Linked DNA regions of Ovis aries. The protein of the gene in region 1 purifies or fractionates together with the protein of each later gene. This does not show direct contact. Links are inferred from orthologs where the notes say so. Each region holds a gene or a part of one and is shown on either strand. Other genes may lie near its edges.

The links. Proteins that work in one complex are often made in the same cells at the same time.
Region 2: the proteins of RAB3GAP2 (region 1) and VAPB purify together in Homo sapiens (affinity purification with mass spectrometry; 4 studies listed by BioGRID and IntAct, counting the BioPlex papers as one, with this or other methods). This does not show direct contact. The link is inferred for Ovis aries from reciprocal best matches to the Homo sapiens genes RAB3GAP2 and VAPB.

Annotation. Positions count from the first base shown.
Region 1 is NC_056065.1:22,885,699-22,889,198, reverse strand, and holds part of RAB3GAP2 (rab3 GTPase-activating protein non-catalytic subunit), read left to right. Parts: intron 1-1,228; coding exon 1,229-1,334; intron 1,335-1,935; coding exon 1,936-2,096; intron 2,097-3,119; coding exon 3,120-3,348; intron 3,349-3,500. UniProt on the Homo sapiens protein: Regulatory subunit of the Rab3 GTPase-activating (Rab3GAP) complex composed of RAB3GAP1 and RAB3GAP2, which has GTPase-activating protein (GAP) activity towards various Rab3 subfamily members (RAB3A, RAB3B, RAB3C and RAB3D), RAB5A and RAB43, and guanine nucleotide exchange factor (GEF) activity towards RAB18.
Region 2 is NC_056066.1:57,651,537-57,655,742, reverse strand, and holds the start of VAPB (vesicle-associated membrane protein-associated protein B/C), read left to right. Parts: upstream 1-1,406; 5' UTR 1,407-1,715; coding exon 1,716-1,773; intron 1,774-4,206. UniProt on the Homo sapiens protein: Endoplasmic reticulum (ER)-anchored protein that mediates the formation of contact sites between the ER and endosomes via interaction with FFAT motif-containing proteins such as STARD3 or WDR44.

The DNA of each region.
Region 1 (3,500 bases):
TGCTCAGTCGTGTCTGACTCTTAGCGACCCCATGGACTGCAGCCTACCAGGCTCCTCCTCCGTCCATGGGACTTTCCAGGCAAGAGTACTGGAGTGGGGTGCCATTGCCTTCTCCGATGAAAGGACATACCCAGTTTTAAAAAAATGAAAAGTATGGATAGGATGAAGTATAAAGGAGGCTAATGAAGGGAGAGATGTGAAAAGGTTAAAAAAGAGCCAAGTTAAACCAAAAAGGGGAGAAAAAGTGTGTTGTACATTTTTATATTAATACAATCAGGCAAATCTAGGTTCAAACTTTAGTTCTAAGTTAGTAACTAAGTTATTTTTCCTTCTTATCGTTTGTAAAACCCCAATAGTCAGCCCTGCCCCAAGAGGTGGTTGTTATCGAATGGGAAGATGCGCTTGTTGGGTACTTATCTGCCTTGGGTTATTCTCCTGAGTTAATTTCCTTCACACACTTCTCCTTCAGCTTCCTGCTCTTCTTAATTTTGAAAATTGTATGTACTAATGTGTTTAAACTGATAGTCAAGCTTTCATTTCATTAGAGCTTTTTTTTTAACATAAAGACATTGCAGAATTATAGGCAATCAAAACCTTTCACACACACCAGCACTTAACAGATGTGACACTATGCCTTTTACGTTTTCATTACCCCGGAATTATCTGTGTACAAATTTTATGAGCCCAGATTTTAAAAATTTTAAGTAGATACGCTTATTTTTAAAAATCATTCTGTTGATTTAAATGCTTTTAAAATCTGTTTCTCATGACTCGGTGACTTGAAGATTAGAGTTTGATAGTATTATGTACTCACCAACCACTGCCAAGTCCCCAGTTTCTTTGCATGACCAAGGCCAGGGCTAGAGCCATAGCTCCAGGCCCTCGTGTCATAACCTGCGGCCAGCCTTCTGTAATCCATGCTCACTGGCAGTACCCTCTCTGCCGATTTGCTCTTTAATAGAAGCTTGCACTGAAGGGTAGTACTGAACCTAAAGAAGTGGTGGAAATGGGGAGATTTTGATCCCCAACAAATAAGGAATCTCTTAAGGTAGACAAGCTACCTTGTCTCCTTGTTCTCCTTCTCACACTACGTCATGTAACAAGCAAGCACTTACCTCCCGACCAGAAAGGCTGAACCACTCATGAATACACATATGGTCTAAAATTGTACAAGATTTTGTTTATGGTAAATATTTTTTTTACAATAAAGATTTAAATCTGATTTCAGTCTCTGCTTCTGAGCGTTTGGCTTTCTAAGGAAAAAGATATTTTGGACAAACCGCAGTCTGTCTGCTGTCTCCATATGATGCTGTACCTCCTGAGCAAGATGAAAGGTGAGCACTGTGGATGCTGAGGTTTGGCTCCTCGGGAATGTGGTCTCCACTCCCAGAAATAATGTTCAGTGTTGAAATTCCACAAAAACGAGGAGAGAGAATACTTCCTCATAACAAAAGGAGACTAGAAGGTACAAAACATTTCACTAGAGAGAATCTTTTATGTAGTCATAGAAAACTCTTAATACATTCAAAGTGTGCTTTATGAAATTTAATTAACATTTTGCATCAACATGAGAAATGATAGTGAACAGTATGTTTTCTGAGTTCATTGAGGTGAATTGAATGGTCTGTGGTGGAGGTAATATTTTTCTTACTGTTTTTGGCATGATGAGAGCAATAATCTGTTATATTAAAACATTCAGTAGTAGTTTTCATCAGTGATGAAAGAGATTTACAATCGATTCAGAGCAAGATGCCTAAGAGCATAAATAAGTGAAATATAAGTCTTCTGAATAAAATAAAGACTTCTTTTCCAGTTCATTAAAAAATACACACACGCATCAATGGGAAACTTGGTTCTAACATTATATTTAACATCAAAGATTAAAAGAAAAAAATTGCCAAGCTAAGAGTTTCTTTTTTTGCCATTTGCCTGTAGTGGCCATCGAAGAGACCTGGGATTCCCAGTCAGTGTCCCCTTGGTGGCAGCAGATGCGCACGGTCTGTATTCAGTCCGAGAACAACGGGGCTGCGCTGCTATCCGCACACGTTGGGCATGCTGTCGCTGCCCAGATATCCAACAGCTTGACTGAGAAGAAAGTGAGTGGGCAGGGGGGCGGTTCTAGGGGGGCTCCCCTCCAGCGGGCTCCCCGACCGCTTTCCCCTTCTGGGCTGCATTGTCTTCAGTGTGTGGAACATCTAGGATTTGAGATATGTGTCCAGCAGAATCTTGTCGACGTCTCTTGAAGATGAGGGGTTCTTCTTTAGCTGTTTATTCAGATAACTTGAACCTAGTCTCCACACAGCATAAGGGGCGAAGCACTGGAGTCAGGGCAGAGACCTGGTGTTCGCAGCTGGTGGTCTGTGGTGAGTGCCTGTAGAAGGCAGGTCCTCATTCAGAAGGCTCAGGGTTAGACAGCATTGTTTCTCCGATTTCTTTCGGCTCTTAGTTTCTACAGTTGTATTTATATCCTTCTTTTAGAAACAAGAGTGGTTTTGGCACGTGGTGTTGAATGACTCAGATGAAAGCTTCCAGTAGACCTTTTACTTTGTGGCTTTTCCCCATCTCTTGAAGACTAAAATTTATTTAAGACAAGACTAGTGCCCCTTGTATCTCATGGTGAATCAAATAATTTTTTCTAGGGGGATGTTGCATTAAATTGGATAGGATACTTAAATAGGTCTGTAGAGATTCACTCAACATTGTCAGTCCCAGTAGTTTGGGGCTAAATTCATTATGACTGGTTTATGATGTTTCTAATAATAGAGAGAGAAATTTAAGATACATTTTTTATGTTGGCTAGTACATTCTGAAGAACTGTCAGTATCCGGGAACGCTGCAGGGATGGGCCTGAAACCTTTGCAGTGCATGTCAGTTGAATTATGGGCCTCACTACAGGTCTCTTCATAAATGTCTGGACTCTATCAGCATTGCTCCTAAGTCTCCAGTCTACTCCTCACCTTCATGTTCCATCCAGCCAAGTAGTAATGTTTGTGTACCAGCATCTATATATCGCTTTGTGATGTATCCTGATGATCAATCCGCTTTCACGTTAAAAGTTCATTCAAGTTAATGTTGATCCAGACTCTTAGCCAGAGTATCAATTGGGCGTTTTCTGTTAGTTTTCCCAAACAGTTTCAGGAACTGACTCGGAAGCCCTCACTGATTCCTGGGAGGCCCTTTCTCTTGATACGGAGTACTGGAAACTCCTCCTGAAACAGCTGGAGGACTGTCTCCTGCTTCAGACTCTGCTTCACAGCAAAACGAACACCCGGACCTCCAAAGTGTCTTCACTGCAGGCTGAGCCGCTCCCGAAGCTTTCTGTGAAAAAGCTGTTAGAAGGAGGAAAAGGTAACCTGAAGTTACTTGAGCATTTGTAGCCATAGATCTATATTTTTATGGTATGAGCTTTCTGGGGCCTTTTTTTTTTTAATAGAAACGACTGAAAGAATAAGGAAAGAAAAATACACTCAGATTTTAAAAGTAAATGAATAACCCACCAT
Region 2 (4,206 bases), on another chromosome or scaffold:
TCCAACAAACTTCCTGAAACAGAATTTCAAGATTCAGGCATGAGGAAAGTGATCCTGATTGTAAATTCTGAGATGCAGGAAGAAAAGATGAGCAAAGAAATTGGTAACTGTGTGGTTGAGTCCAAATCAATATTGACTGTATAAAATAACTTAGTAATGGCTCACAGGGTGAAAAAGGAAAAGATTAAACTTAAAATATAGTATAATTAAGGCATATAATTTAGAGGATGGGCTATTAAAGTACACTTAAGTCCTTTTATTTTCAGGGAGCCAAGTAAAGAGTAATCATTGAAACAGCATAGAGTATATAAGAGGAGGAAAAGTGGAATGAGAAAAAAATTAGCTCTAAAAATGCAAAAAGGAAAGGAAAAAGAAAAAAACAAATGTGACCAACGGAAGGCACAAAATAAGATGGTAGAAATATATCCATATATAATCATAAATATAATAAGTATAAATGGACCAAATGCTGTAGTTAAAAGACAAAGATTATATTTTAAAAAAACCCTTTTTAAAAAATTACAAAAAATTTCAAATTGGAAAGTGCAAAGAACAGTACAAAGAATACCTCTATGTCTGTCATGTAGAGTCAATGTTAGCTATTTGCTATTTTCATTTATATATGAAAAGGAAAATATTTAACACATATTTCAGGTAGTACACACTACATAATGAAGTAAAGTTTAAATGTCAATAATGAGATAATGAGGTAGAGTGTTCACTTTAAAACCAAACAGATATAGGTTCTCAGTAATTTTTAAAAGTGTATTTGTTTGAGTGGGTGGTTATTTATTCAAAGGCTGTCTCATCTATGGCCCCTAGTAAGAAGCAGGAACCAGGTCATTTTTTCTGATCACTGTATTTCTAAATATTTGTTGCATTTAGCAGTACAGGATTCAGCACAGTGCTTGTTACATAGTAAACATTTAAAGTAGAGTAGCTTTTATTTATTATAATCGATGCTGTTGTTATGTGAAGCGTTCAGCAGAGTGGCACAAAATAAGCAAGCAATAATTGGTAGCTTACTAAATTTATATTTATTGCTTACCACAAGTCACCGTGTCTAACACACATCATTCACTCACAAACATCATGTTTATAATAAGAATAAATCGTACTTCATTATTATTCAAAATCTCTAAGTGCCTGGCACATTAGCAAGGAGAAGTGGAAGTTCATTTTTATTAATTATTGACTAAAGCACTTAACACAAAATCTGCCTCCCATGCGCCCTGCCTAAATAAATAATCTTCAGGATGATGGTCCTCAATTCTGGGTGTCCCGGACCCGCCCCTCCCCCGGACTTGCGCGACGCCCCGCCCCCTGCCTCCCGGCAGCCCCGCCCCCACGGCCACCGCCGCGCCTGCGCACTGCTCGGCAGGGGCTCGCGCGCTCTGCTCCCCGCCGTTCCCGAGCGCGCGCCGGGTTAAGGCGGCCGGCCTGCTGCGTGTGTGCGTGCGTGCGTCGGCGCGTCCGTGCGTGCGTGCGTGTCGTACGCTCGCTGGGCACCGCGGCCTCACCCTCGCCCTCCGCCCCTGCGCCTGCACCGCGTAGGCCGTCCCCCCCCCCCCCCGCGCGCAACCCATAGGCGACCCCCGCCCGCGCCCCGGCAGGCCCCCCCTTTCCAAATTTAAAGGGGGCGCAGCATTCACGCGTCCCGCCCCAGGTGACCTCTCAGGGGTCTCCCCGCCCGAGCTGCCCCGCCGCCGAGGAACATGGCGAAGGTGGAGCAGGTCCTGAGCCTCGAGCCGCAGCACGAGCTCAAATTCCGAGGTAAGCCCGGAGGCCCGCCATCTTCGGCCGCGGGCCGGGCCCGCCGCCCCGCGCTCCCTCCCGCGCTCCGGAGGGCCCGGCGGCGCGGTGGTGACGTCGGCCCCCCGGCCGCAGCCCCCGCCCCGCCCCCGTCCGACGGCGAGTCCGCCTGCGCCCCCTCCCCGGCCCCGAGGGTCGGGTGCGGGAGTCCAGGGCCTGCTCCTCCACAGCCTCCCGCGCCTCGCCCTCCAGACACTCGCACAGTTGCCGCTGTGACCCTTCTCTCCGGTCTGCGGCCTCCGCCCAGAGTGTGGGCCCCGGCGACCGCCTGTCCCCGGAAGGCTCAGGTCCTAGGTCAGAGGTCGCCTCCCCGGGAGGCCCGCGCCGACCCGCCACCCCGCCACCCCGCCACCCCGCCCAGGACACCAGCGGCCGCCCCTGTAGCATCACTCCTGGCAGCTTGGCAACTTAGTCCTGCGTACGAGGACCACTTTACACACTTGAGTACTGTGTCTCCTCCACATTGGGAGGGAAGCTCCATGAGGACAGGACCTGGTCACGTCTCCGCTTTATCCCCCGCACACCTTAGGTCCTTGATAAGCACCTGTTGAGTAAGTGAATGATAGAAACCTCCTCAGAAGTTTCAACGGGACTGGACTCAACTTTCCTTCTTCTGCCTTTCTTGTGCCTGTGGCTCATAGCTGTGCAGCCGAGGGAAGGGGGTGGGGGAAGGGCTGTCAGATCTTCCCCCTCCCCACCCAGAAGAGCCTGGAACTGGAGTCCGAGGAAGCCCAGGGGGCCACCTATATGTTTGTGGCGAGCCCAAGCCCCTTGTAATGTGTGCCTTCATCTTTAGTTATTATTCCCTACTTTCTTCACCAAAACACAGTGCTAGGGGACAAGAAGGTCTTCATCTGATTTGACCATTCCTTCTTTCCAAATGTACTGAGTGACTGTGTGGCAGACATTTGATTGGCACTTGAGAGGGGTGAGTGGACAAGACAGACAAGACCCTTGCTTTCTTAAAGATTAGCTTCTAGTGAAGGTTGGCAAGCCTGTACTCCAGAGTATTTCAGGAGGGACTAACACAGGCTGGCATGATGCAAGCATGGTTTCCATTGGCCCAGAGTAGCTCCTCAGTAGATGTTTGGGGGCATTGCTATGCCTGCTGGCTACACACACCCCACTTTAAGGCAGGAGGTAGTGTGGGTAATTTACCCAGAGTCACCCAGTTGGCAAATGGCACATTGGGACCCAGATTCCAGAGCTCACGCTCTTTTAACAGTTATGCTTTCTTGATCCCTGGGCATTCTTCCACTGTGGTGGCTGTCATTTTGCCTCCCAGGTTAACAATCTCAGGTTGTCACATTTGGAAGTGATTCCAAATGTATAAACAGTGGAAGGTTTTCCAGTTCAAACAAACACAGACCACAAAACCGTGACGTGGATTATAATTCCATGGCAGTACTTTAAGGTCAGGCCTTCTAGAGGAGCCAGGCTGAGAGAGGAATCTGGTAACTCAAGTGAATGTGGAAGGTGATGGTTTCCACTTGAGTTGTCTGAAATTCTCTACCTTGGAAGCCTGGCTTAACTCCTCCCGGAAGTTGGCAGGTCCATTCTGTGAGTCCACAGGCATTTACCCATTGCCTGCTCCCTGTGACAGGTAACAGGAAAAGATGAATCACATCACATAGATGCCCCCATTCTCCCTCAACCCCCCACACCAGAGCTTAGGTCTTGGCAAGATAGCTAACAACAGAATCAGCCAGAACAGTGCTGTGATACAAGGCAATCCAGATTGCTCCAAGATCAACACCCAAAGAAGGTATCATTTGACCTGAGTTCAAAGGTCAGATGGAAGTGGGTGAAAGGGAGAAAGGAGTGGGGAGTGTGTCAGTTGGAGGAAGTTGCAGGTACAGAGGCACAAAGGCTGAGACTATTGGGCTCCTTTGGGATGCCATTAGTATATCTGAATGACTAGGGCACAGAGCCTTTGTTGGGGTCACGAGGCAACAGTCTGTGAGGCTGGCTGGTTGACAGGAGTCATATCTTCCAAGGCCTTTGTGAACAGATACAGCCTGTGTCCAAGTGCAGATTGTGTTGTGTCTCCTCAGCTAGTTCTCCCTGATTGACCCCACCTCTCCCTGCAGCCTTAACCCCACTCTTGTACATACACTCTCCTCAGTTCTTGTTCCAGTTCTTTTGCTTAATGATGTTTGAGCTTAGGCTGACCACTTTGCTCTCCAAAACCTAGGATTACTCTTTTCTCCATGGGAGTGGCGCTCATATCTACCTTGCTTCCTATAGAAAGTTTGGTTGAGATTATGGCTGTTCAGCTGCTTCGTAAATCTGCAGTATTGTACAGAGATTGGTTGTGTTTTACACAACTGGTTTCATCGTTTCAATTTCTTTACCTGAACGGTGTGGCTGAAGAGTGATCTCTCAGCCTAGGGT